4 linked regions of the Notamacropus eugenii genome follow. The protein of the gene in region 1 purifies or fractionates together with the protein of each later gene. This does not show direct contact. Links are inferred from orthologs where the notes say so. Each region holds a gene or a part of one and is shown on either strand. Other genes may lie near its edges. The genes, in order: DDX6, ATXN2L, AGO2 and G3BP2.

Region 1 (7,059 bases):
TGTAGGCTTCTGCTTGGAAACTGGCCAGAGGACTTAAAGGCTACCTGAATCGTTTAAATTTTAATTCGAGCAAGCTCTGCATTCTAAAAGTGCCGTGTCCAAGTTCACACCGCACACAGCGCAGCAAACAAAAAGCGCGCAAGGAAGGGCCCGACTTCCTTTCTACAAAAACACCAGACGGTGGTTCTGCGAAATACTACGCGTGCCAGCCTTGAAAACGTCGGGAAAAAGAAGCCGGACTGTTCACCCAGACCACGCTGCCTTCCCCCACTAAGATGAGCCATGCGCCCTTTTAGAAAACTCGGTAAGCCACGCTCGGTCCGCCAACAAACACCGAGGCTCATGCAGACAAAAGCAGCGTGTAAGAAAACCAAGACGACTTGGACGGAAACTTCTCAGGAAGACGTTCCCTGACTCTAAAACTCATCTCCTGAAGAAAAGGCTGGGTGGCCTTTACCGAACACCGGTCTGCTCCTAAGAAGGCCAGAATTCTGCTAAAACAAACCCTCCCGCGGCCCTGCGGACGGCCGCTCACTTCGGAGGCTTCCTGTTGTGACAGGTTTACACTGCGAGCATCAACACCGCCAGCACCCTCACCCGAGGAGCCTGGGAGGATGACTGAACGCCAGCGAAGCGCCGGGCATGACAAGGGCGCCCGGTCCGGCTCGGTAACGCCGCCGTTCCGCTCCCGCTCGCCCAGCCGGCCGATGGGGACCCCACTTCTAACGGGGAGAGAAGCTGCACGGCCGCTTCACAAGAGCAATAACATCCCCCCCTTCTCCTCAGCAGACCAAGTTCCGTCTCCAAGTTCCATGGCTGCATGTTCAGAAATTACACCGGAGCGCAGAGAGGAAGGCTGAGTTAGCGGCAGCGCTTCCTGCACGAGCTCGCCAATGACAGCTCCGCACCCCAAAACTCCTCGGCCCCGCCGGCTTTTGTTGCCACGGCGGCGCAGCTTCCCTTTAGGGTTAGCCCAGGAGGAGCCTTGGGGTGGGGGCTTTCATTCTGAGGGAGGTGGGTCTGGAAGGACGGAGAAGAGAACGAAGCGGGGGACAAGTCGAAGGGAGAAGTGCACGACGACTTCGGGGGACACCCCCGCCCGTGCGCCGCTCATTTCTCGGTTATTTTCCATCCCGAGCCGCTTCCTTCGGCCTTAAAAACAAAGAGGCTGGGGCCCTGCAATGGGATCTGCGCAACGCTGGCGGAGCAGCCGCGGCCCCGCCAGCTCAGCCAGCGGGAAACAATGGGGATTCCCCCTCCCCCTCGGGGCCCGAAGACTCACCCCCTTCCCCCTCAACCTACGGAGGGCATTCCAGCACCCCGACTGTCCACGCGCGGGGGGAGGGTGGAGAGGGGACTGTCCACGGGGAGCCGCAGTATGCCCCCCCCGCCGCCCCAGTAGGGGGACGCCACGTCCCCCGGCCCTGCGGCCCCCACATCCCCCAGTCCCTATAAAGCTGTCACTGGCGCGGGCCCGCTCCTCGCCCTGTTCGGTTCCCGGTCCCAGGCCCCCCTCGGCCCTCGCCTTCGGATTCTACCCCTCGCAGCCCCCGCCGCTTCCTAGGCTGCCCCCGAGGCCCCGACCGGGCCTCGGGCCTCCGCCCCGGAGCGCCCCCTCCCCTGACAGGCCCGGCCCGCTTCCCGCAGCCCCCGCGCCTCGGCAGCGGCCGAGCTCGGCGCCTCACCCCACTGGCCGCGGCTGGGGCCTGTGTCACGGCGCCGAGGCCGCCGCCGCCAGGGTCCCCGGCTCCTTTATTGTTGACTCGAAGCTCCCAAGATGGCGGCGGTTCCTTCCTCCCCGAAACCCTCCGCCCGCCCGCCCCCCGGCCCAGCCCTCCCCGGCCCGGCCGGGCCGGCCCAGTCCAGCCCCAGGGCCACCGGAGCCCCCTCAGCAGCTTCCCCTCGGGCCTCCACGCCGCGCTCCGCCCCGGCGCGCCCGCCAGCCAGCCCGCCCGGCGTCCCGGCTGCGCCCGGCCTACCTCCGCCGCTCCCCGCTCTCATGGCGCCGCCGAAGCCGCCGACCGGGCCGAGCCAACTCCGCCGCCGCGCCCCCTCCCTCGCTGCCGCCCTCCCTCTTTCCCTGCCTCCCCGCATGGCGGCGGCCGCGGCTCCTCCTCCCCTCAAGATGGCGAGAGCTCGGGCCGAGCCCCGGGCCGGGGCCGCCTCCTGCGCCGCCGCCGCCGCCCCCGCCGCCGCCCCATCTACCGGGGGCCCGAGTCTTCGCTGAGGAGAAAACGGGGGGCAAGCGCCCCCACCTCGGCAGGGCCGGGGGGTCGGGCCGGCGGCAGCGACAGCAGGGGCTCCGGGACGTGGGGCTGCCGGGCGGGCACGGCGGGCTCGGGGCCCCTCTCTGAGGGGCGTCAGGGGGGATGGGGCGCGCCCTCAAAAAGGGGCCCAGAGGCAGGCAGGGCGGGGGCGCGAGGGCCCGCCCGGCCCCCTCCCCAGGCGGGGGGCGCGGGCTAGGGGCTCGGGGCTGAGAATTGGGGCGACCACCGACCTGATGCTTCCCGGTGGCGGGGCCGCCTGCTTGTGGCCGGAGGGAGGCACCCCCGCTCCTGGGCGGCCGAGCTGCTGCCCTCCCTGCTTCCAGCGCGGAGGTGCCCGCTCCCCATCCCCCACCCGCGCACCCCGGGGCGGCTGAGCGGCCTGTGAGGCGGGCGGGCGAAGCGAGGGGGCGCGTCCTGCGGGCAGGACGGGGAGCCTCGGCGGCGGGGCGGGCGAGCGTCCGGCGGGTAGTGCCAGGAAAAAAAATCTCGCCTTCCGGTGGTGCCCGCCGCCAGGATAAGAGTAAACAAGAGAAGCTCCCCCGTAACCCTCCCAGCCCCCAGACGGGGAGACTGAGCTCGCTGCTCGGCGCCCCTCTTTCGGGGGACCCCCGTCTGAGGGGGAAAGAGTCTAACCTCGGTAGTGCCGAGCTGGGATTCGAACCGGGGTCTTCCGGGAGCCCCGGCGGCAATGATACCTAATGTACACATGCCTCTCTCCAGGCAGGTAGCTCTGCTGCCAGGCATTGTGAGCGCTGACGGGACGAAGGAGGGGGGTCGGTGCCCTCTGTGAGAACAAGGAGGTGAGTTTGTGGCAGGACCCCCATGGCTTCGGCTCACCTTTGCAGCGGGGCAGCATGGAGAGCCTGTCCAAACCTTTTCTTCAATTATTTATTTCAATGAGGAAAAATCTATTTCCCCCCCAACCACCTCCCCACCTCCCATGGGATGATCCATAATAAGTTAGTAAGTTTTACAGCTGGGAGGGGATTTAGAGGCGGTCCAAATCTTTCTTTTTTTAAAAAATTAATTTTTCTCAATTAAAAAAATAGTATTCCCCTCCCCCCTCACAACCCTACCCGCCACTGTGAGGGGGAGAGGAAAGAAGGAAAACCCTGGTAACCAGCATAATGAAGGAAAACAAATTGTCCAGTAAATCATGTTTCGTTCTACATACTCTCCTTCATCTCTCTAACTCCGTTAGATTGTGAAGTCCTTGGAAGGAGAAACAGTCTTTTGTCTTTCCTTGTATCTCCAGGGCTTGGTCGGGTGCTTAGTAGGCGCTTAATAAATGCTTATTGTCTGTTGTGGCCATCCCCAAAGAAAGAGATTCATGTAGGTCTCTATCCAGTGACCTCAACTCCTCTTCATGTTTCATGGAAAAATGGAGAACAGGCTTTGGTTGCAATGTTCAGAGGTGAAAATGAGGGTCTAGAAAGTCAAGAAAACAAAGCTTTAACCTTGGGTTTCAGCAGAAGGAGAGGGAGGATACGAAGGTTGAAAAAGGTATGTTGACAATGAATGTAATTCTTCTTCAGCTCTCCCATTCAGATTTAGTATTTCATTTTTAATATATTTTTATCAGTCTTTTGTTTTTATCTCACCTAGATTTCGCTCCTGTATCTCAACACTCTTCCTCCCAGATAGAGATCCCTTATAACAAAGATTTTTTAAGAGGAAAAAATTCAGCAAAATTACCCAATAAGTGGGAAAAATATTTGATATTTTATGCAATCTTCCAAACACAAGGGGCCCCCATTAGTACAAAGGAATAGAAGGAGATGTTTTCTCATCTTTTTTCTTTGAGTCAAGCTTGTTTTAAAATTTTTCAGCATTTATTTTCAATTATTTTGTGGTTATTCATTTATTAATATTGTTGTAGTCATGGTATATGTGATCTTCCTGGTCTTCACTTTGTATCAGTTTGTGGATATCTTTCTGTGCTTCTCCGTCTTCATCCTACTTCTCATCTCTTAGAGCAGAGTATTTCCATTACATTTATGTACCACAGTTTGTTTAGTCATCCACCAATCTATCTATGGCAGGTTTTAATAGAACCTCAATACCCCAGAGGCAGCAGTTCTTTAGCCCCTTATCTAGACAGCTCAGCCAACTTAGAACTCAGCTGTGGACCATTTGTAGGCCTCCTTTAGTTCTTATCTGTTCCTGGGTGCAAAGTTAGTTGCTAGTAGACCTTGCTAGATTCTTAGGTGGTTTTCGTCTAGTGCCAAGAAAGATTACTTACAAAGATAGTATATCTTGGTCCAGGGGGCGTCTTTGCATTAGTCAATGGTCAAAGTATAAAAACATTGTGTTTGGAAAGGTGTGCCATCTTGCCTTTTTCACTAGAGGATTTTAAAATTCTTTTCTCTCATTCAACTGGTATTTTTTTCCTTTCTATTTATTTATGTTCATTTATTTTTAGTTTTAAACATTCATTTCCACAAAATTTTGAGTTCCAAATTTTCTCCCCATCTTTCTCCTCTACCCACCCCAAAATGCCATGCATTCTGATTACCTGCTCCCTCAATATTCCCTCCCTTCTGTCACACCTCTCCCTTCCTTTATGCTCATCTTCTCTCTTTTCTTGTAGGGCAAGACAGATTTCTGTACCCCATTACAAGCATTTCTTATTTCCCAGTTGTATGCAAAAACAGTTCTCAACATTTATTCCTAAAACTTTGAGCTCCAACTTCTCTCCCTTCCTCCCTCCCCACTCATCCCCACTGAGAAGGCAAGCAATTCAATATAGATTACATATGTGTAGTTTTGCAAATGACTTCCATAATAGTCATGTTGTGTAATATTAACTATATTTCCCCTATCCTTTCCTGTGCCCCATTTATTCTATTCTCTCTTTTGATGTTGTCCTTCCCCTAAAGTGATTACTTCTAATTACTCCCTCCTCCCATTTGCCCTCCCTTCTATCATCTCCCCACCCCACTTATCCCCTTCTCCCCTACTTTCCTGTAATATAAGATAGATTTGCATACCAAATTGAGTGAGTGTGTTATTCCTTCCTTAAGCCAAATAGGATGAGAGTAAGCTTCATTTTTCTCTCTCACCTCCTCCTTTTTCTCCATTGAAAAAGCTTTTTCTTGCCTTTTTTGTGAGAGATAATTTGCCCCATTCCATTTCTCCCTTTCTCCTCGCAACATATACCTCTCACCCCTTTATTTTTTTTGGTTTCATCCCTTCTTATTCAACTCACCCTGTGCTGTGTGTGTGTGTGTGTGTGTGTGTGTGTGTGTGTGTGTGTGTACTCCCTGCAACTATCCAAATACTGAGAAAAATTTCAAGAGTTGCAAATATTATCTTTCCATGTAGGAATGTAAACAGTTCAACTTTAGAAAGTCCCTTATGATTGCTCTTTCCTGTTTACCTTTTCATGCTTCTCTTGATTCTTGTGTTTGAAAGTCAGATTTTCTCTTCAGTTCTGGTCTTTTCATCAATAATGCTTGGAAGTCCTCTGTTTCTTTGAAAGACCATTTTTTCCCTTGAAGTATTATACTCAGTTTTGCTGGGTAGGTGATTCTTGGTCTTAATCCTAGTTCCTTTGACTTCTGGAATATCATATTCCAAGCCCTTTGATCCCTTAATGTAGAAGCTGCTAGATCTTGTGTTATCCTGATTGTATTTATACAATACTCAAATTGTTTCTTTCTAGCTTCTTGCAATATTTTCTCCTTGACCTGGGAACTCTGGAATTTGGCTACCATATTCCTAGGAGTTTTTCTTTTCAGATCTCTTTCAGAAGGTGATTGGTGGATTCTTTCAATATTTATTTTGCCCTCTGGTTCTAGAATATCAACAATTTTTATTGATAATTTCATGAAAGATGATATCTAGGTTCTTCTTTTGGTCATGCCTTTCAGGTAGTCCCATAATTTTTGAATTGTCTCTCCTAGATCTATTTTCCAGGTCAGTTGTTTTTCCAGTGAGATTTTTCACATTATCTTCTATTTTTTCATTCTTTTGGTTTTGTTTTGTAATTTCTTGGTTTCTCATAAAGTCATTAGCTTCCATCTTCTCCATTCTAATTTTTAAAGAACTATTTCCTTTAGTGAACTTTTGAACCTCCTTTTCCATTTGGCTAATTCTGCTTTTTAAAGCATTCTTCTCCTCATTGGCTTTTTGGACCTCTTTTACCAATTGAGTTAGCCTATTTTTAAAGGTGTTATTTTCTTCAGCATTTTTTTGGGTCTCCTTTAGCAAGGTGTTGACTTGCTTTTCATGATTTTCTTGCACTGCTCTCATTTCTCTTCCCAATTTTTCCTCCATCTTTCTTACTTGATTTTCAAAATTCTGTTTGAGCTCTTCCATGGCCTGAGACCATTGCATATTTATTTTGGCTGTTTTGGATGCAGAAACCTTGACTTCTAGGTCTTCCTCTGATGGTATGCATTGTTCTTCCTCATCCGAAAGGAAGGAAGAAAATACCTGTTCAACAAGAAAGTAGCTTTCTATAGTCGTATTCTTTTTCCCCTTTTTTAGTCATTTTCCCAGCCAGTTACTTGACTTTTGAGTCTTTTGTCAAGAGGAAGGTATACTCTGGGGACCTATAAGTTCTCACTTTCTCCAAAGTAGCACAATCAAGGGAGGAATTTTACTCCTGTCCTGGCCTGTGCTCTGGTCTGGGAGCAACCACAAGTACTCTGTTCTATCCAGGATCTTCAGCAGGGTTCCCTCTCCAGAGCCACCCCCACCTCCATTGCCAGCACTCTTCTGCAACCCAGGAGAGCCACTCAGGGCTTAGATCCACATTAGCCACTCAATTCCCTCAGGGTCTTTAAGC
Region 2 (7,791 bases), on another chromosome or scaffold:
ATCTTAACGATGAAAAGAAATCAGGCTAGAGATAACGTACAAACGCACACCTGCCCAGCCATCAATATTTTTTCAAAGCTACAGCGCTTATTATGATGAAATATAAAACAATTATAGCAAGCAATGCTAGGCTAGGAACATCTGTACAGAATGGCAGAGTTTTTACGACGATCTTTAAGACTGACGGCACTGCATCTCCCACATACCACCCTTTCCAGCTGGTTCTAACTTCCAAGCCAGGTTGATGAATACACTTACCTTTGAACTCAGAGTCTTGAAAATACCTTCATATGTGGTACCATTTTTCACCTTTACATCACAAGTGGAGCCCTGGCAGAAAGAGCAACAATTAAAGACTTCACATTACACTTATTTAAGACCCCACCAAACTACTTTAGAAGACAGGTACATACCACAACAGCAGTAAGGAAGTGTAGCATCCTAGAGTTATTGTAGACACCCTCAAATACCTGAAAATAACACGGAGATGACAAATTAATGAGTAAAGGGAAGACGCTTATCAGGTATCCTAAACTTCTACCTTTCTGACATTTCTTTTGCCCGATTCCCCAGTGGTTCCCACTTCACCCTTTTACATCCCTGAATTTAACTACTGGAAAGGCACTCACAGGTGACGGTGGGGGCCCCTTTCCTGTGCTCTGTCCCCTATAAGAGAAAACAACAAGGACACTTTTAGTTATTCAAGTCTGCCCAATTCCCTCCTACACTCCCATCTACAAAGGGGTCAGGAACGTCTAACTCAACATACAACAAAAAAAGAAAGGTCCACATCTTTTACAGGAGTAAAGAAAGGCTGGATAAGAGACGTCCCTGGGCCTCATCAGGCACAGAGCAATGAAAGTCTATAAACCAGTACAGCCTTCAGGCTTGTCCACATCTTAAAAAGGCAAAGAACTGGAGGAGCGAGATGCATTATTTTCATTTCAAAGCCCACGGCCTAGCTCTCTGTCCAAACCATTCTGTGAGACGAGATTAAGAGGCAACCTTCCCGCAGCTCTCCCAAGGCAAGGGGACGGGGCTCAGGGTTTACAACACCCACAAGAACAAGGAAGCACATGGAGCCCATCTAGGACTGGCCAATCTAAAGCCATCACCCCAGAGTGCCAAAGGCACCTCTAGCAAGCCCCCGAGCTCGCCCACGGAAGACAACTGTCTCCACCCCTACACGAAAAGCCCCATTACCCATTCTGGGGAGAACTAACCGCCGCGGATACCAGGGTCCTCACAGGCTGATGTAACTGGCCGTTGGGGGGAGGGGGGGCCGTTTGGCGGGGTGAGGGGACCGCGCAGACGCAGACGCTATCCACAGGGAGGCCTCACCCATTCAGCGCTTGCGCACTACAGCCCTCAGGCTTCCTTCACGCTCGCTCGCCTTCCTGCCCCCAGAGCGCCTGCGTACAGCCTCAATAAGCTCCACGAGAGATGTGCGGTCCGCCGAGCTCCCACCCCCGCCCTGACCTTAGAAACAGACCGCAGAATATTGGACTAGACCGCGCCGGCTACAGCTATCCTCACGGAGCCGCCAGGAGCGCCGTCCTAACACCCTGTCATAAGACGGCACCTTCTCCACGCGCACGTACTGGGGTGCGCGCGCGCACAGGGGGTTATACAGGGTCTGCAGTTCCCTCCTTGGGGGGGGCGGGGGGAAGGCGCAGCCTATTTCTTCTCTGCCCATTGGCCCAACTATGGACTCCACGCCCCCCCATTGGCTATAGCTAGGGACCCCTTCCCGCCTCTTCCCACCCATTGGCTGAGCTTTGGGACCGCGAGACCCTTCACATCAATTGAGCCGGGGACCCTACTCACCTTTACCTCCCTCCTCTCCTCCTCCCCCCGCCCCCGCCATTGATGCACCCCCTTCGATACGGACACTGACACAGACACACACTCTCGCTCGCTCCTCCGAGGCCGGGGATGGGGGGCATTCCATCCTGCCCAGTCTACCCTTCCCGGTCTACACAAGGCAAAGAATTCCCACCTAGTCGAGCCCCCTAGGGCTAGGCTCCCTTCTGCTGAGCAACCTGCTGGTTGGCCAAAGGGCCGCCCCTTCCCCCATCCTGCCCCACCATTTAGCCCGACTTAGGAACCCCACTTCCACAATGGGATGAAATGAAGGATCCCCCCACCCTGCATTGGTTCGACTCAGGGACCCCATCTCCTCTATTGGCCAGACCGTAGGGGCACACGCCGCTTCCTCTTTCATCCCCATTGGCTAAACCCAAGAGCCCCCGCCGAACCCCTCCGGAAAGTTGGACCGGGGACCCTCAGCGTTGCTGCCCCCGGCACAACGGCAGCCCACCGCCCAACCCTGGCCACTGTCTCCCTCCGAAAGTGGCCGGGTCAAGGGACTCCGCGGGCTTTCCTTCCCGCCCCTTCCTTGATGGCAGACAGACGTTTACCAACAAGCAGGGGGCCCTCGGCCGTCCCACGTCCCGTCATCCCCCCTCGTCCAGCCCCTCTTCACCTGGTACTGCCAGTAGCAGCGCCCCCGGGCCGCTCCTGATGCTGATGTGTTGGCGGCTGTGGCGGCAGAACCCCCTCAGCTCCCCGGCGGAGCCCACTGCCTCCGGCAGGAGGCCCTAGGCCTGGGGAAGCGGCAGTGGGCGGCCCCGGGGCCGAGGCGGAGGCTGGGGTCCCCCCGAGGTTTCCGTTGGGGGGGCTGGTCCCCCCGGGAGGCCGGCGTGCTGGTGCCGGTTGCTGGATGGGTGTCTGCTGGGGCTGAGATGGCTGAGGCGGCTGCGGCTTCAACATGGTGGCGGCGTCCGGAAGGGGAGTTGGGGGGGGCAGGACTGGGCTGAGGCCGGGCCCGCCCGAGCGCGCGAGGAGTGAAGGGGGTTGGGAAGAGGGGGCGCCGCCGTTAGCGGGTGGGGGGGCCGGTGTGTGAGGGATACAAGGAGGCGGCGGCGCGAGAAGGCGCCGCGAGGCGGAAGGGGGGATCTCGCGGGCTTGAGGAAAGCGAGAGAGAGGGCGCGAGCCGGCGCGCGTGCGCGAAAGAAACAGTATGAGGCGGGGGAGGGGGAGTTAAGAGAGAGTGCGCGCGCGTACGCAAGCCCCCGGGAGCGAGGGACCGAGGAGACGCGCTCACACCTAGACGGTTAGCTCTAGGTTAAGCGAAAAGGGGTAGCAAAGAAAGGTGAATTTTGCGTTCCTAGTACACTGGGAAGACTCAGAGTAGGGAATGGGAGATGGGGGTGGGGGAGGGGGAATGTTGAAGAGAGCTAAAGGCGCACGCGCGCGAGGTATCGGAGTCTCTGGCGCGCCCCGTGACCGCCCGCTCGCCGCCGTCGCTTGACAATGAGCGTGTGAAGTACTGGGGGAGGGGCAAGAAAGGAGACCAGCTATAGGTAACCACTGCGCATGTGCGATTCTCCTACCTAGTACAGCCAGCGCCGCATGTGCAACGTCACAGTACTGCCGTGCAATCCCTTATCCTTCCGCCTTACCGGGACTCGTACAGGGATCGGTTTGAAGGCAAAAAGGCCCGGAGGGAGCGGGTGGCATTGACGTTTCCTCTGCAGTAAGGAGCCTACGTTTGTTTGTTAGCCCACGGAGAATTTATTTAGACTTTTGCTTCCCGTCCCTTCGACCTGCTTATTATCGTTAACAACTAACTACGTTAGTAGGTGTCTCGGATACATTCAGGAAGATAAACTATTTTTTAAAAAGTTGTGTTCCTTTATTAACAGCTCTAATGGAAAAAAGGGGGGTGAGGTTGTCTCTTGAAGTTACTGGTTAATAGGTGGTTTGGATCTGTTAGAAGAACAATTTTCTACATCTTTGTTTCGAGTCATGCTTTTCCCCAACTGATGGAACAAGACCCACCGGTCAAGTCATCAAAGTCCCGCAGGTTGGGAGGAGGCTTTGGGTGAAGATGTCGTGCAGGCTCTCATTTAAAATGAAGCCTGCCAGTTTCCTATGCTCTATTACTGTCTTCTCCATCTTTTCTTGGTAAAATTGGAAGACTAAACTCTCCCATACCGGAGAAATGAAGGCAATGTGCTCAGGAGATGAACAGGAACCACAAGTATGTTGGCTACAAATGGGTGATTCCTTAGGTTTAGGAGGAGCACTGGAAGAGATGATCTAGGCCAATCCCTTCATTTAAAGTCTAAGGCCCATCTTTATGGAATGAGAGAGGATCAAGAAGAGTGAAGGAATGGTAGTACTTAAAAAGAAGTATTTATGTACACAGTTTTTAGCATTTTTCTTCCAAAGGGTTTAAGGTAGTGGGGTAATAATAACTAAGGTTTACAAAATATTTTACAACTTCATATACATATATCTATATATGTGTGCGTGTGTGTGCGTATTTTTAAGTGTCCTAACCTTGAAAGCTAGAAGGAAGAGTGACCACAGGAAGGAAGGCAACAATATATACACAAATGTGCCTTCTCCGGATAGTTACATATGGAGGCAACAGTCACATCCAGAGATAAGAGAACTGGAAACATTTTAGGAGCCAGCCAATTCAGTAACAATCTCCATTCAGATTTTTCTAAAACAATTTGGATCTGCAATTAGACATTTTAGGTTAATCAGATTAGAGCTGGAAGAGGCTTTAAAGGTCATCTAAATCCACCTCCACTCCACACACACATACAGATGAGGAAAGTGAGGTCCAGACAGACAAGGTGATTGGCAGAGGTGCTACAAAGATTGAAAACGGGCAGATATCCAGACATTCAGCAGAATGGAAATCTGAAAAACATAGGCCAATAAATTCTGTTTTACTTCCTAGCAAAATCTAGTTGGTAAAAAAAAAAAAAAAGCAATAACTCCAAGTGTCAGCATGGTGTCACTGAGAATAGGTAATACCAAACTAAACATTTCTTTTTCTGATGGCATAATTAGACTTGTAAAAATAAGGGGTATATCATGCACATAGTTTACCCGATTTTAGCAAAATATATGAAAATGTATATTGTGGCATTCTTGCGGACAATGCAAAGAAATATGAGATGATGATATTTAGTTGGGTGGATTCAGGACTAGCCGAATAACTACACCCAAAGAGTAGCCATTAATGGTTCAGTGTTACCTTGGAAGAAGGTGTAATCAAGTGTCCCAGAGAGCTGTGCTGTTTAATATTTTTATCAGTGATTTGGATAAAGGCATAGATACCATGCTTACTGAATTTGCATATGACAAAGTAGAGAGTGATAGCTTCTAGGGCTCAAGAAACAAAAAAAATTATTAGGTTAGAATACTGGGTTAAATATGATATGGTAATTCTTAACTTTTTATTGGGTTTTGTAAATTTAAAAATTTTTTTAATTTTAATTGGTTTCCTTTGTAATCTTATTTTATCCATTTAAAAACATTCTGAGGAGGGGGTCCATACATAGGCTTCACCAGAATGCCAAAGGAGTCTGGGTCTACAATGCAAAAAACTGAAGAATCCCGATCTAATCCTAAGATATTTAATAGGGATAAGTATAAAGATTCATAGTTGGGTTAAAAATATCGAATTCTCAAGTGCAAGATAGAGAAGGCAGAGTTAGCCAGCAATTGTTCTGAAAAAGATCTAGGTGCTTTAGTAAATTGCAAGCTCAATATGGATCAACTCTGGGATATGACAAACAAAAAAAACCCCTAATGATCTCTGAAACTGTAGTGAGAGGCAGAGTAGCCAGGAACAGGCATGGGCAGGACATCTGGAGTACTGTGTTTATGTCTGGACATTCATCTTTAAGATCATGTTATGTGGATTGGCTGAAAGAGCTGGGGAGGTATAATCAGGAGAAGACAGGTAGATGTGACCTGAAGTACCCTTGATGGGACAGGGGTCATGTGGAAGGACTGGACAGCACTAAAAGCAGTGGATGCAAGGTGCAGAGGCAAATTTATGCCTGATATAAGAAAACTTTCCAGTCAAGGTTGTGAGAGCCTGTAAAATGATCTGTCTGCCTCAGGAGGTGGTGGACTCTTCCTTTTCGATGTCATCACACAAATACTGGATGACAATCTGTAAGGCAGTATTCTTGTTGGAGTATGATCTCTGAAGTCCCTTTCCACTCACCTGTGAACACTGGGTTAGGAAGAAAGGCCTCTAAACTTGTCTTTCCCCCTTCACGCCTCCTTCATTCTAGCTAACAAACATTTCTTGAATGTGCATTTCATGAATGGCATGAAAGGAATATTACTCAGAGCCCCAGGGAAGGTGGTGAGATAAATCACTCTCATTATACTTACTGAGCACCCATGTATAAATCAGGTGAACAGGTTTAAACTTATGTATGTATGGATTACTGTTTGGCAAAACCCTACCATTCATACCAAGTTATAAACAAATGTTATCTGAAGCAATCAGGCAGGTGAGTGCCAGAACGAACCTCAAAATTCATGTAAAATAATTGAACCATCTCCTTCACGTCAGGTGATATAAATAGTGGCTAGGTTCAAAACCTTGTGTTAATTACTGTGTACTGAATTTCCATGAACTGGGGACATTTCCTAAGGTTATCCTTCAATAATTACATTCAGTCCCCAAATCCCTCAATCTCTGACCTAAAAAAGGAAGACACTAGGCTGTTCCAGCTACCTAAAGTCAATGAAAAATATTTTAACTTTTCTCCATGAAACCTTCCCTGCAACCTATGTGCCAGGGTTTTATAAGTTCAGTTCTAATTTTCTTTTTTTGCATAGCCTTCTACCCTTTTCTCAAAGGATGTACCAGCTTCCCTGCCCTACGGCTCAACTGGTTGAATCCTTTGCACACTAAGCAACATGTTTTCTTATTTTTTTTCTCTTTCAGGAAGTGTTAAGAATGAGAGCACATTATCAGGCATTCTACCTATTTTGTTCTAAAACTCAAACTGACATCTGTTCCCCCATGCCACCTCTACCCCCAAATAAGCTGCTCTGTTAACATCATCAGAATATCAAGAGATGAAAGGCCTTTCAGAACAATTTATCTGGAAATTATGGTCACAAAGTCAGGAGGCACAGGGCTGAACTTTCCTTCCTATTCCTCCCTTGATTATTTCTGCTTGCTTATTTTTCTGCCCCCCTGACCTCTCCATCTGTCCCTGGGGCTGAATGATGTCTTCGTCTTGGGGAAGAACCTATGTCTCCAAGTGCCCCTGGGGATTGTTCTGAAAGATCCTCATCTGTCCTCAATGGATGGGTATCAATCTTTCCACTTGAGGCCCATCCCTCTATCCCTTCATATCCACTTGGGATTTGCTCTATGGCCTCTCCCTCTCCCTCCCCTCCTATGGGTTTTGTTTCATTTCCTCCAACTTCCTTGGAGACATGTTCTTCAGTGGTCTCTTCATCCCCTCTGTGGACTTCGGTTTTAGCATCCCCTCCCTGGGTCTGCCCTTCAGCATCTCTTCCCTTGATTTGTCCTTCGCTGTACCCTCCCTGTGCTTGTCCTTCACTGTCCCCATCCTGGGTCTGTCTTTCACTATCTCCTCCCGAAGTTTGTCCTCTAGTGGCTTCTTTATCTCTCTTGGGATCCTCTGTCTGTTTACTACCTTTGACAATCTGTCCTTCAGTTCCTATTGCATCTGCCTCCTGAAACTGTGTCTCAGTAGACACTTCAACTTCTTGCAGAACCTGTCTCTCATTCTCTCCATATCCTTCTAGGTTCTGTTCCTTACTTTCACCTGTCTCTACCAGGAATTGACCCTCCCTACCACCCTCTAATGCAAGGATCTTCTCCTCAGTCTTTCTACATTCTACATTGATTTGTCTCTCCATCCTCGCATACCTCATTTCCATTACCCCCACAGTCTTTCTATAGCCCTGCAGGAATGCAGCTTTTCT
Region 3 (7,127 bases), on another chromosome or scaffold:
TAAGTTTCTCCCCAAAGCTACTCTTGACCAAGACAGCGTCATATAGCACCGTTAATTTTTTCCCCTCACCAAAGACTGAATTTCACCATTTCATACAACATTACAATCACTTGCAAAATCAATGTTATGGGTTGTCTCAAGACTATCTCTGGAGAACTGCAGTGTTTAAAATCTTAGTATTTTTATATTCTAAGAGCCTTCAGATTTTTAAGTTTGGAACATGACTAATTCATGACATTATCTAATGTACCTTTAAAAAATGCCAGTGTATTAAAACCAAAATAATCATTATTCTTTCAATAATTAATAAGCACCAGTTTTATTTTTTTCTAAAGTTTAGTATGGTACCTTAAGATAAAGCAGGTTTGAGACAGAAATTCGACATTTACATATAATAAATGTAGGGATAACTATATGTAAAAATATGAGGTGCTATGAATGCTGAGGTGGAGCTCTGAAGGTGGAATAAGCATGTTTTGTCAAGGATAAAAAAACAGCCACAGAGCAAAGGCTTAAAAGTGGAAGGCCAAAGTGTAGCAAGAAAATCTCCCTGTAGTGTATAGGGTGTTAGATGGGTGTAATGAAACAATAAGCACATTTAAGGTGTTAGCAGATAGTGGAAGTCTTAGAACCAATCCTTGTTCTGCTTGGTATAATGAGTGTGATTCAACATCTCTGAGAAGACCAAGTGGAGATGCCCGTGGATCCACCTGACAGAATTGTGCCTTAAGACATTTAAAAGGAGAGACCGAAGGTAAGGAAAATATTAATATCTTGACAATCACCATGCCCAGTTGCTAATCAAATCAAGAGTTTTAAATCCCCCTTGCCATTCCTGCTCCCTATTTAAGCCGTTTGTGATGGCTTCAAGCTTTTGAAAACTTGTCTACAAAATAAAAGGGACTAACTAGGAAAAGAAGGCGCTAAAACATCAGGCCTTGTAACTTTCATCAAGTAAATTCTAAAAGGAAAAGTAACACATTAACAAAAGATGGCAAGATAATTTAGAACCATGATGACATATGTAAAACACAGACAAATGTTTTAAGGATTTCAAATCCCTATCGGGAGAAAGTTTGAATCTCCACCAATTGAATTGGCTACAATTCAGCCCTTCCAGACCGGCCTCACAGGGGAACCAGAAAAACTCTTGCAAAAAAGAAAAAAGACCATGAAACTGACTTCACTCAAGAAGGTTTAGGACAAGATCACGAATCACCATCAATAAGTTCTCTTTCCTTCGAGCATGGCATTGGGAATCTAGTACTATTGCCACCCGCCCCCCCAACCCCAAACAGGAACTTGAACCAACATAGTAATGAGGCGACGGGAAGGAAACCCTGAGTAGAGCTGGAGAAGGAATTTCCAACCTCCCACTCCTTCCCTCCCCGGATCCCTGGCCCAAAGCCCCCAGATACGAAGCCCACGGATTTAATCCGATCCATGGCGGGAGGCAAGGGGGGGAAGTTCAGGCATCTGGAAGGAAGAAAGATATACCAAGCGTTTGTTTGTTTTGAGAGGAAACCAGAGTAGGCTACTGCTCTTCCCAAGTCTTTCCTCAGCCCCTCAGGCTCCTCGTGGGGCCTAGGCGCAGTCCCAGAAGCCGCGGGGGCTGCAAACCCCCTACGGCCAGACGTCTGGCGAGGAAAGCGGGAGGGCGGGCGGCGGTGTGCAAGGTCTACACTGTGGGGCGGAAAGAAACAACTGAGTCCCGTCCTCGAGTAAGGAAAGGGATATTTCGGTTTTGTCTTTGTATCCCCGGCGCCTGACACATAGAAAGCGCTTAATAAATGCTGGCTCGATTGGCTGTAGTTTTCTCAGCTACTAAGCACTTTAAAAAGGAGGGAGTCCAGGCAACTCGGGAGGGGAGGAGGAGACGGCCTAGTGGAGGGAGGTGTATGAGTAGCTGTGGGTTTAAGTGGTGGCGGTGGCGGCTATCTGGGGACTGGAAAAGGGTTGTGGGACTCAGTTTAGCGGCCGCCACTTGCCGCCCCCCCCCCGCCCCCGCCCCAGGTAGGAAGACGACCCTCAGCCGAGAACCCAATAGAACTGGGGATGGCCCGCCGCACCCTCGGGACTGGAGCTAGGAGCAGAGACTGGGGCCTGGGGCTTGCGAGTAGGAAAGTCGGGGGTGCGCTTGGCTCCCGGGGTGTGTATGAGTGCGCGCGCCCCGCACTCAGCCCCAGCAACAGCAGCCGCCCAGCGCCTCGCGCTCCCTGCGAGTGTGTGTGCGTGTGTGTGTGTCTAAGTGCGCGCTCCCCGCTCTCAGCCCCCAGCAACAGCCACCCCAGCCGCCGCCTCCGAGCGCCTCGCGCCCTCCGCTTTGCTCCCGGGGTGTGCGCGAGCGAGAGGAGTGAGGAGCGCGCGCTCAGACTCAGCCCCTGCCCCAGTCGCCCCGCCAGCGCCTCAAGCCCCCCGCTTCCCCCCTGGGGTGTGAGTGTGAGTGTGTGCGTGAGTGTGAGCGCACGCGTCCCGCTCTGAGCCCCACACGTTTCAAAAGGGGGTGCGAAAAGAGAGAAAAGCCACCCCTCCATCTCCAGACGGCCTTCTCCTTGCCCCCACACACCCCCACCCCGAACCGGTAACCACGCTAAGAACCTGAGTAAAAAGCCCGGGTACTCACCGGGTCCTGCTCCCGAATACATGTCTGTCCTGGGCTGGGGGGCTCCCGGGAGCCAAGGAGTGAGAATCAGGCCCCCCCAACGCAGCAGCCGCGAGCGCGGTCCGACCCTGCGCCTTCAGGCGGGCGCCTCACCAAACAGGTTTACGCGACACTGTGCCGGCAGAGGAGTGAAGGGGAAGGGAAGGAAGGAAGGAGGGAGGGAAGGAAGGGGGAGAGAGAGGGAGGGAAGGGAAGAGGGAAGGAAGGAGGGAGGGAGGGCCGGCCAGCCGCCGGGAGCCGGGGAGCCGTTGTAGTGCCGAAGAGGGGAAAAAAGAGGAGGAGGGGGGAAAGGAAAGCTACTTGCGACCAAGAAGGGAGGGGGGGAACCCAGCCCTGACTAAATGAGCATGCCCAGTGGTGACGGCTGACGAGAAAGGGGAGCTTGCAACGTGCAGTGCGGGCTGTACAGTACAGACCGCCTAGTTTTCACAGAGGCCATACGGGGGTGGAGACGGCGGGAGGCGGGGGGGGGGGGGTGGACGCGGGGGGGTTGAGGGGGGAGTGGGGCCTGGGTGGAGGAAGGAGAGAGGAGGAGCTGGGGTAGTGACGAGAGTATTAGGCGGGGCCCGGCGTCAGGTTCAACGCTGGGTCTAGGCTGGTAGGCGGGGGAGCCTAAAACCCAAAGCGGCTAGGGGGCGGGGGGGCAGGGGGGGGAACCGGCTGTGCTGGAGAGAAAGGGCAGAAGGAAAAAGGATCTCTACAGCCAGCAGATGTTTAAACTTAGCCACCCCTGATGGTAGCTCAGGTTTACGTTAGCGCGCCGAGAGATCTGACAAATGTTGGCTGACAGGCTTGCAATTTTTTTTCTTTTTTGGCGGGGAAGATTGGTTGGGGGAGGGGAAATACTTCGGCGGGTTATGAGGTAGGAAGGTGAAAGGGTAATCTCTTTTCCCGTGTTCTTGAAGATGGAGAAAGAGGGAGAGGGAAAGGATAGGGAAGATATAGGGTTGAACTGGTCCGTAGAGCAAAGAGAATTGGGGTCTTCCTGAAAAGAGAATTGGGGTCTTCCTGCAACCTGTAGAGCCTCTCTCATGGAGGCTACATTTCTGCCAGTATCCTTCCCCTTCCATTCCTGCTCTGGTCTAATGTGATCCTGGGGGAGTTAGGGTGGTGATTGGGAAGTGGGTTTTCGGGAAATAGACAACAACAGTTCTGGGACAACTAGGCAAGCCAACTACCTGAGGACTCGGGATATTCTGTATTATTTACAATTGCCAAATGCAGGCAGTGCTAAAATTCACAGTAAATGTATACAGCCCTTACTACAATCTCCTGCTCATCATTTAGACTTGGAAATGCACTGAGCTGATGGATGTCAGAAAGCTTTATAACTGTCTTGTATTTGAACTTAGGCATACACCCTGTTCAACCAAACAAACACATGACCAATACGCCACCTCCTGGCCCAGCCCAAATCCACTCTTGAAGACCCAGAAGCTAAAATTAGCACCTTAGACTCTCAGAAACAGAGTCCAAGCCAGATCTGCAGTGGCTTATGTAGGCCTAACTGATAAGGATCTCTCATAGGACCAATCTCAGATGACTTTTAAGAACTTAACCCTGTTGCAAAGGTCAAATAGCCCTTTTTCCTATTTTTTTTTTTTAAATTCAACTCCAATCTGATAGGTGTGAACTGGAACCTCAGTTGCTTTAATATAAATTTCTCTTATTATTAGTGATTTGGAGCATTTTTTTTAACATAGCTCTTGATAATTTGGATTTCTTCCCTTAAGAACTATCTGTTCATATCCTTTGAAGGTTCAATGAAATGGCCAGCAATGATTCCAAAGTAGGGATGATGAAGCATGTCATTCACCTCTTGACAGATGATGAACTCAAGATACAAAATGAGACATACATTTTAGGATATGACTAATATAAGGATTTGTTTTGCTTAATTATGCGTATTTGTTAAAAGGGTTTTGTTTTCCTTTTTTTGAGTTGGGCTTTGAAAGATGGGAAAAAAGAATGCTTATTAATTGACAAAAAAATTAATTAAAAATAGCCTCTATTGACAGTCTCTCTTCCCTCAAATCTATCTTGCACATCATCTCCAGTCTAATCTATTCTATATCAGTTTCCATGCCATTCTGCAATCTACTATCTACCCCTTCAACAACCCGCGATGATTCTCTTGCATATATTTATTTGCCATTTATACTGTTCTGTAAAAGTTTCATTTCTTTTTCCTTAGCCATAATGTTAGTTATTTGACTCACCAAATTCTCACCTGTGACTCCAAGAAACTGTAGCATGCTTAGTGATCACACTGGTAAGATGTCTTAGAAGATGTACTAAACCAAATTGAGGGTAATCCGAAGGCCTCAAACCCATCAGTGAATTAGGGAATGTCTACCCCAAGCACATGAAGACTCCTCAATGTAATGGGCAGATGAAAACAGTTTGTTCCAGCAGTCATGAAACTGACTGAAGCATGCGTTGTAGAATGCTTAGAGCTTGGTCATCCAAGACACCAAGTCACCCACTGCATCCAGGGCTGTAGCCCTTCTCTGGACAAGAGAGTGAGGCTGATGATTTTGTGCAACTCTGCCTCACTTAAATCCAACTCACTCATGAGTTAAGATATCACTCCAAGAGATTGGAGAGGGAAGAAACTGGAGATAGGAGAGCCAGTTAGGTGCATACCGCAGAACAGAGATGGTGAAGTCTTAAAGGGGAGCAGATGTTTTATGAATGAAGAAAAGGGAATGGATGTGAGAAATATTATGGGGCAGGATCAACAGAACTTGGTAGTTGATTAGATATGGGAGTTGGGGAAGAGGAAATAGTTAAGGATGATTCTAGGATTGCCAAAGGATAGATGAGAAGGATAGGGACACAAAGAGTCACACACAACTGAAAACAGCTGAACAAATGTGTGGCCAGTGCTTTGCTAAGCCCTAGGGATATAGTGGCAAAAAGGAAATCCATTGCTTTCATTTCGCTTACCTTCTAACGGGGAAACTCTGAATTTCTCCATATCATTAGTTATTAATAATCATTTCTCTTAAGTGAGTATAAGAAAGGAGTCTCAAGGATGATTTTAATGATATATGCTTAAGTGACTGAAGGATGTTTTCAACATTAATAGAAAAGTTGGGAAGAGGGGATGATTTAGGGGTAAAAATAAGTCCAGTTCAAGATATCTAAGAGAACAGGGCATGCTGGCACAAACCTGTAATCCAGATAATGGGAAAGCTAAGGCCAGTGGGATCTCTTGAGCTCAGAAGTTCTGAGATATAATGGGCAAAGCTGCTCAGTTGTCTGTACTAAGTCAACAAAAATGTGTTGAGCCCCTGCATGATGGGGAGCCATTAAGTTGCCTAAGATGTAATTGACTGGCCCGAGTTTATAAATGGGTAGGTGAGATCAGAACCAGGAGTAGCCCCTGAACTTCTAGCTAGGTGAAGAAGGGAGACCTTGTTTTAAAAAACAGCCATAAATTAAAAATAAAATAAATTTTTAAAAAGCAACCAAACGATGTCTAAGAGGCAATTGGTGATATGAGAGTAGAAGTCAAGAAAGAATTTAAACCTGGGCATGTAGATCTAAGAATCATTCTTCATGGAGATGAGATGGTAGTTAAACCCATGGACTGATGAAATCATGAAGTGGAATCATCTAAAGGGCCTAGGACAGAACCTTGAGGGATACCTCCAGTTAGTGGGCATGACTTGGATGAAGATTCAGCAAAGTGCTACTAGATGAAAATAAATAACGTCATGCAGTAAATATTTTGTTATTGGCTAAAAGAAACAAATACACCTCTGGTCTTATATGTAATAAATACTGCACAGTGAGCCAGTGCAACAGTGAAATAGTTGAATTTCAGGAGTTTCCAGACTCAGGAGCACTTTGAAGCAGAACCTTACTTATATCTCTCCCCCTCACCCTGCACCTCCCATTCTCCCCTGACCGTGTTATTAGGAAGACTGGATCAGGAGGAAATAATGCATCTAACTGGGAACTGAGAAATATACACAGGACAAGATAAACACACTGAAGACAAGCAACTTCAGGAATCTGCAATGGTACTGACTGTCAGAGTCCACAAAGTTACATCTAAAGGGAACCTAATGAGTATTCAGAGAAGAAAGAAAAGAACTTCCAGTAACTTGGAGCTGTGAGTTATTCTTTTGACTTCATATGTGTCCTATTTGTGTCCCTCACCATCATTGTACTCTAAGTTTGAGCTCACTCTTCCAGTGGACCTGTGTGTATACAAAAAATGTGTGGGAAAATATGCTCCAGACTTTTAAGAGATATTTCTATACCAACTGTTCTTAATAAATGACTTTAGTTGATGGCCTTTCAAAAAGCTAATTAACTGGCTGACAGTTAATGAAAAGCATACTGGATGGAGTCACATGAGCTACAGTACTAGAAACCCTAATCCTTCAGGGTTCCCTCTAGAACCCTGAGAGGAGAGATACACATCCTCTGGTGATCTGGTCTGTTAATGCCC
Region 4 (6,998 bases), on another chromosome or scaffold:
TCAGCCTAGTCTAGGGTTAAAAATGTAAAATCATTTGCATATAATATTTCATAAATTTATCTCAAATTGGCTTGTTACTCTGCCTCCCTCAAGGACTCCGGGAAAATCTCTAAATATAGCTCATGCCTCATTTCTCAACAAACTTTATATCTTCTTCCCTACTTCATGTAGGGGAAATATATTCCCATTATAGTTTTGAGTAGTTTTACTAAAAGAAATTAGAATCGAAAAGACCGTATTAAACACTCTAAGTGGCTACATGTTATTTACTCTTTGGGGTAACAGCGACCACCCCTGTGGGAAGTTGGAATTCACCATCTCACTTTTCCAAGGTGACTAAAACTCCCATAAGTCATTGGAAAAAGATTATCCTTCATTTCTCCTCAAATCACATTCTACTCACTGCAACCATAGTAGCTCTTTGGGATGTTCATCTGAGGAGTCAGAGCTAGGAGTCATCTTCTTACAGGGATGGCTATTGGATGAACCCACCCACAATAGTCTTGCCAACGTCTCTAAAATGTTCACTGCCCAGCCCTCTGACCCCTGGATACTGAGAGGCCCCTATCCCTTAGGCACAGAACCTCATCTCTTTACCCCCAATTGATTTCATCTCTTTCTAGTCTGCTTACTGCTTTTCTGCTTAGCAGGCCTCTTTTTTTGTCATGGTTGTTACAAATTGATTCATTTGGTGAATTTTTTCAATCTCTGCCCAGAGTGATAACCTCTTATTTTATAGTTCTAGGTGAAAATTAAGTGAGTGTCATATTGTATTTCATCATATGGATGATCATACATCACAGAATTTAAGGCTCCATCCTAGGCCCTCTTTTATTCTCTCTTTACACTCTCATTCTTGGTGATCTCACTAGCTCCCATGGATTAAATTCTCATCTCTGGTCAGATAACTCCAAGATCTATATATCTGGTCAATTCTTCCATCAACAGGCATTTATGAGAAATCTGCTGTGGACCAAGTACTGTGTTAGGCACTAAGGAAATCAATATAAAGACTGCAATAATTCTTCAGTCCTTATCATTTTCTTGACTACCCATCTGACATGGACATTTGCCTATTGGACATTTCTACTACTGTGTCCCATAGGCTATGTTCATAAATATTATTACATGCCCATAGTAATAATGTTTATGAACATAGCAGTATGGCTTGGGGGACTTAAGGCTGCTAGCTTACAGTTGCCCGCTTTACCACTCATGTCTTGGGTGACTGACTATACTATGGTAAAGTCTGGCTATAAAGAAATTTTTTGGGGAAAAAAGTCATAAGACCAGTATTTATTCTGAACATTGACATTCACTGCTACTTGAGAGGCAGATTGATCAAGACAAGGAAAGGGGGAAACTCTGACTGGTCAAGAGAGAGAATCCAAATATTCTATGTTTCCTTTTTACCATTTCGAGACTCTCCATCTACCGCTGTCACTCAGCAACCTCTGCCTCCTTTGAGGTACATTCAATCCAGATTTATCACCTATTGCCTATCCATCCACAGGCCATTTTCTTACTCTCCACAGTTGCTGCTACAAACATCATCCTATCTCAAGTTTCTACAGTAATCCCTTCACCTTTACAGCTAGGAACCTGTCCTCATATTTCACTGAAAAAACTGAGGTCATTTGCTATGAGCTCCATCTTCTCTTCTCATCTCCCATCCCTCAGACACCCTTCCCTATTATCATTGCTTTAACTTCTTTCTATCTTTGATGAAAAGGCTTCCCTTCTCTTCGCAAAGACAAAATCCAAACTTCACAGAAAAATCCCTCCCCCCCTTAATAAAAGGATTTGTTCTGTAAAACTTGGAATCAGTCAAAAGGCTGCACCCAAGGACCTAGAAGGCCATACATGACTTTGAGGACACAGGTTCCCCACCCCTGACATGCATCCTTGAACCCATATTCCCTCTTCTATACTCAAGCAAAAGGCTTCTTTTATCATTCTTATTCCCTCTTTCTCTTTTATCTTCAGTCACGCCCTATCTACTGGCTCCATTCCCCCAGCCTACAAATCCACTCACTTCTCCAACATTCTTTAAAACCCTCATTTGGTCCTCCTTTCCCTCTAGGCTAAACTCCTTTCCTTACCCCTCATTTAAACCTCTCTTAAACCCTTTGCAACCAGGCTTCAGACCAGACTCCATCATTCAACTGAAACAGCTCTCTCCAAAGTTACCACTGACCTCTTAATTGCCAGCTCTAATGCCTTTTCTCAATCCTCTTCATTCTTGATCTCTCTGCAACCTTTGACATTGTCGATCCCCTTTTCCTGGATATTGTTTTGTCTCTGGGTTTCATGACATTGCTTTCTCCAGCTTCTTCTATCCGTGTTAGACTATTCCTCTTTAGTTTTCTTTGCTTGATCATCCTCCTATTCACACCCAATAATAACGTTGAGTGTATCTCAAAGTTCAGCCCTGGCATCTTCTCTCTTTTCCCTTTAAATCCTTTTCCAAGAGTTTCCCTCTTATGAACTCCCAAGGATTCAACCGCTGTCTCTGCAGATGACACCCAAATCTATTCATCCAGCACTTTTCTTTCTCTAGATTTCCAATCCCACACTAAGACAGAATTAATTAAGACACAAAAGACAGTTGTCTTTGGAAAGAACTCATTATTTCCCTTGCCAACCTCCCTTTGTCCATTTCATTATTTTTGCTGTTGTTCTTATCAGCCTCTCAGGCTAAAGTGCATTTTAGATTCCTCACTCTAACTCACCAACATGTCCAATTTTTTGCCAGGCTTTCCTACCTTCAGTGGATTTCTCCCATATATTCCCATTTCTCCATTCATCCAGCCACCACTCTACTTCAGGCCCTGATCACCTTCCACCTGGACTATTACTTCGAGTGTTTCCCTCCAATTGATCCTCCACTCATCTGCCATTTTCCTATAGCCTACATCTGCCTAGTCATTATTCCATAAACTCTAGTAGTTCCCCATTACTTCCAGAATCAATACAAAGTCCTCTGATTGGCATTCAAAGCCCTTTGTAACTTAGCACCTTCCTGCCTTTTTATTTTTACACTTTACAACCTTCCATGCTCTATGATCCAGCTACATTGGACTATTTATTTGTAACTCTTCACAGGACTCCATCTCCCTCTCTCTGCCTTTGGATTGGCGGCATGGGCCCAAGCCATGGAATTCTGTTCCTCGTTATCTTAGTTACTCTGACTTCTTTCAAAATTTAACTCAAATCCTCCCTAGTATCTTCCCCCTCTGAGGTTCTTTCATCTACTCTGTTTCTATTTTAATTATATATATGTCATTTGTAACTTGTTTTTGTAAAACGAGCAGTTGGATATTTCGTTGCTAGAATATGACCTTCTTGAGAGCAAGGACTTTGGTCTTTCTTTGTCTACCCAACACAAAGCATTTAACAAAAGCTTGTTAGCTTACTGGTAGAGTTGAGACTAGGACCCAGGTGCTAGACTAGGTCTAGAACTCTCCAGTCCAGGGTTCTTTGCGCTACAACTCCAAGGTCCACACTAGACTGAAACTGTAACCACTTGCCTGCAAACTGTAACTGCAGCAACGTGTAAATAACTTTGTAGACAAAATTGCTACATCTTTCTTTCCCTTGGCACAAAATATGGTATCCTTGAATCTGCCAAGATTACAATGTTGCAGTAGGAGGGCCTCCTGCGCCCGCCCGGTTTTAGGCGAGGACCAGCTACCCGGGTCCCTTCTCCCATCTCCCGGCTTCTAGTCTCCAATGACGTCAAAGTCGCGGGAGCGCGCGGGCCGGGGGAGGGAGGGGCGGCGTTCCAGAGGCCGGTTCCGGTTTTCTCCAGTCCCGGCCGCGAGCAAGAGGGAGCTCGAGAACAGGCGCCAGGGTCGCGGCGATGTGCGCGTGCTCAGAAAAGGGACAGGGCGGGGGGAGAGGAAAGGCGGGCCCGCGAGGAGAGGCTCGGTGGTTGGCCGAGGCCGCACCAACGGGGCTCCCCAGCCGGTCTGGCAGGGGTAAAACAATAAGAGTGGGCGGTGGTAAAGGGGGCGGGACCCCAGGGTTCTCTGTCGCTCAATGCCAGAGCCCGGCGCGGAGGAAGGAGGGGAGTCGGGGAGAGAGGGAGCGAGAGAGCCACGCGTGCGCGCGCCCCGCAGGACAGCGCCCGAGACTCGCTCCGGGGGTTTTTGTTGCGTCGGGGAGGCCGGGCCGAGCGGAGCGAACGCGGAGCAGCCGCCGCAGCCTCTTCCGTGAACTGAGTCTGTTCCTCGGCTGGCCTCCGCCGCTGTTGGTTGGAGGTGTGTGTGTGTGCGTGTGTAAATGTGTGTGTGAGCTGGGGGGGGGCTGGTGTGTTGGCCGGGAGGGCACTAACTGCTGGCGCACCCCGGCTCGAGGCAACCGTCTGGCGCGAGCCGCGCGGGACATTGTTCTGGCCGGCGCCGCGGGCCTCCGGGGAGAAAGCGGGGAGCGTAGACCCGGCCCCGGGGCGGGGGAGGGGGGGCAGCGGCTGCGGCCGGCGCCGCCCTGCCCGGGGTGGGGGGGCCAGGCGAGAGTCGCGGCCTCCGGGCACCATTGCTGCCAGCCAGCCCCCGAGCCGGCCGGGCTGGGGGCGCCGGCGTCACCCCCTCCTGCATCCGTCCTTCCCCGAGTGGGGGAGGGGGAAGGTCCTCCCCCCTCCCCCTCTCCCTCCCCCTCCTCCTCCTGCTCCTGCCCCTCCGCGGCCTCTCTTTGCAGGTGGGAGGCCTTTCCTCCCTTTCCGCAGCCCCTCACTGCTGGAAGCTCATCCCTCCTTCCCCACACCCGGAAACGGACCTGAAGGGACTTGCTCCCCAGGACTCGCTCAGGATGCGTTTCTCCTCCGCACATTTGCAGGGAAGAATTAATTTAGGGGGTAGGGGAAATAGGTAGGCCATCCTTTTGGCTGTTTCTATTTAGATAAAAAATAGTGAAACCTAATTTTTAATGGGTTTTTAGGGGGGGAGGATGTTTTGTTTTGCCTTTTTTGAGTGATATATTTTGTGCTGATTCCCTTTAATCGTGATATCCAGGCTCTCTTGGTTTTGTTATGTGATGGGCACGTTCACTTTAGAGCCCACCACTGTCTGCCTCCAATCTACCTTTGCGGCCATGTTTTATGATACACGTCGTGGGTTCTGTATTCCATCCCTAGCTAAACCTCAGTGCTAGCCATTCCAGATCCTGTTTCTTTCCACCCTGCCTCTAATAGGCTCCTTCCATACATCCTTTAGGGCCAGATCAAGCATCACCTTCAGAAATATCCCCTGCTCTCTCCCCCCGCCCCCAGCTGGAAATGATTTCTTGCAGTAATCTGTATTGCCTCTCTGCCTCTCTTACCCATGTATGTTACACTGTTCTAACTTGTATCACGTTGTAACTTTTCATTTTTTTTATTTCCGTGTTTGTTTTATCTAAACCTCTCCTAGATTGTAAACGTCTGAAGCTTACGTCTTGTGGCCTCGATGGGGGTGGGGGTGGGGGTGGGAGGACGACAGGAGACGACAACGGAGATGGTGGCGGCGCAGCAACTGCTGGAGGTTCTTCATCTTTGTCTCTCTAGGGCCTTGCATGGAAATAGATGTTCAATAAGTGTCTGTTAAAGTGGATTTCAGTGGATGGGTATTATGGTATATGCTGTTGCATAATATAACGCGGATGGATGACCAGAAGCGTCCTCCTACAGTTGTTCATCAAAGTGCAAGAATTGCATATACTTGGACCTTTGTAATGCTATACTTTTGAAGGGAGAACGGCCTTACAGTTTGCTTTCCCGAAAGAGTATGGAAATTCCTGCCCAAGTCTATATTTGCCTCTTAATTTAAACTTCATTATGTGAAGAAAATGACCTAGCTAAATATTCTGTGGGCCTTTGGGCATCTAATAAAGCTGCTGTTTTTAATTGAATTCTGACAGGTAACCTGGATTTGAACCCGGAAGGATGATGATTCTCCAGATGAAATAATCTTTTAATATAATAACATTTTATTTCTAGGATGGCCATATGTGGTCTTCCTGATTTCCCTTGATGATTTACTTTGGAAATGCTTCATTAAGAACCTTTGTAGTTCGTTGTCCAGTATGTATGCCTATCTGACGTCTATCATGGTTCAAGTGGAAGTATATAAGTTGAGAAACTGTTTTAAAGAATTATTAATGCCATCAACATTAAGGTTTACAACTGAAAAAAATTATTATGGTAGGGAGCAGAGAAGAGATTTTTATAACTGATATCAGGTATCCTTGGTAGAAAAGGTGTGGGGAAAGGCCAACCCTAATCTCAAATGTAGATTAGGATTCTTTTGGCAGTTTGAGCTACTGAATAATACATTCCTATCATCATGTAACATCCAATCTGTGTTTCAAATCTTTTTCTCATTGTGGCCAGCATTTTATATACTATACAAAATTCAGAATGTTGCTTTTTTTTTTTTTTAGCATTTTATTAATGCAGCTAACTCAAGTTTTATCATTAGCCTTTGAATATTTAAATTTTATATCTCTACTCAAATATAGCATTCATGCCTTAGAAACCTCTTTTCACAAAACCTTTTGAATTTTTTGATATTATTCTTCATTTTTCATGTGATTAAACTGAGACTTAATGGGTTTTGACTTACCCATAGGGTTGTCACACAAGCAAGCATTTTGTAAACTCATTAAAGAATATGCTTGAGTTTTGGTTTCTCTGGGATTTTCAAATCCATCCTTCCATTGACTTCTTTTTTCTTCAGCAAGCATTTAAAAATGCCTCTTAGATCCAATTGCCCTGAAAGACTTTGAGGATTCAAAAACTGCCTGCAAGGAACTTCTTGCTGTGCAAAATAACTGCTCTTGCCATTTTAAAAAGTTTTTTTTGCCATTTACAGCTCCATTGAGTTAAAGGTGGAGTGTTTTAAAGACTTGAAGATGGATATCTTTTTATATTGCATTTACATCCCTTAAAATCAAGGCTTAATTGCCAGCTCTTAACCTGTTTTCTATTATTAGGTCAATAAATTTTTTTTTTAGTCTACTAG

Evidence for each region.
Region 2: the proteins of DDX6 (region 1) and ATXN2L purify together in Homo sapiens (affinity purification with mass spectrometry; 6 studies listed by BioGRID and IntAct, with this or other methods). This does not show direct contact. The link is inferred for Notamacropus eugenii from reciprocal best matches to the Homo sapiens genes DDX6 and ATXN2L.
Region 3: the proteins of DDX6 (region 1) and AGO2 purify together in Homo sapiens (affinity purification with western blotting; 5 studies listed by BioGRID and IntAct, with this or other methods). This does not show direct contact. The link is inferred for Notamacropus eugenii from reciprocal best matches to the Homo sapiens genes DDX6 and AGO2.
Region 4: the proteins of DDX6 (region 1) and G3BP2 purify together in Homo sapiens (affinity purification with mass spectrometry; 3 studies listed by BioGRID and IntAct, with this or other methods). This does not show direct contact. The link is inferred for Notamacropus eugenii from reciprocal best matches to the Homo sapiens genes DDX6 and G3BP2.

What each region holds. Positions count from the first base shown.
Region 1 is NC_092876.1:280,063,633-280,070,691, reverse strand, and holds the start of DDX6 (probable ATP-dependent RNA helicase DDX6), read right to left. Parts: upstream 3,009-7,059; 5' UTR 2,901-3,008; intron 2,752-2,900; exon of another isoform or gene 2,498-2,751; intron 2,064-2,497; exon of another isoform or gene 1,980-2,063; intron 1,808-1,979; exon of another isoform or gene 1,686-1,807; intron 1-1,685.
Region 2 is NC_092872.1:46,614,935-46,622,725, forward strand, and holds the start of ATXN2L (ataxin-2-like protein), read right to left. Parts: upstream 3,014-7,791; 5' UTR 2,773-3,013; coding exon 2,486-2,772; intron 1,596-2,485; exon of another isoform or gene 1,224-1,595; intron 667-1,223; coding exon 630-666; intron 471-629; coding exon 414-470; intron 331-413; coding exon 259-330; intron 1-258. Other genes in the region: uncharacterized protein, read right to left, coding at 7,015-7,791. UniProt on the Homo sapiens protein: Involved in the regulation of stress granule and P-body formation.
Region 3 is NC_092875.1:95,717,319-95,724,445, reverse strand, and holds the start of AGO2 (protein argonaute-2), read right to left. Parts: upstream 3,001-7,127; 5' UTR 2,646-3,000; coding exon 2,624-2,645; intron 1-2,623.
Region 4 is NC_092878.1:151,664,797-151,671,794, forward strand, and holds the start of G3BP2 (ras GTPase-activating protein-binding protein 2), read left to right. Parts: upstream 1-3,988; 5' UTR 3,989-4,262; intron 4,263-6,998.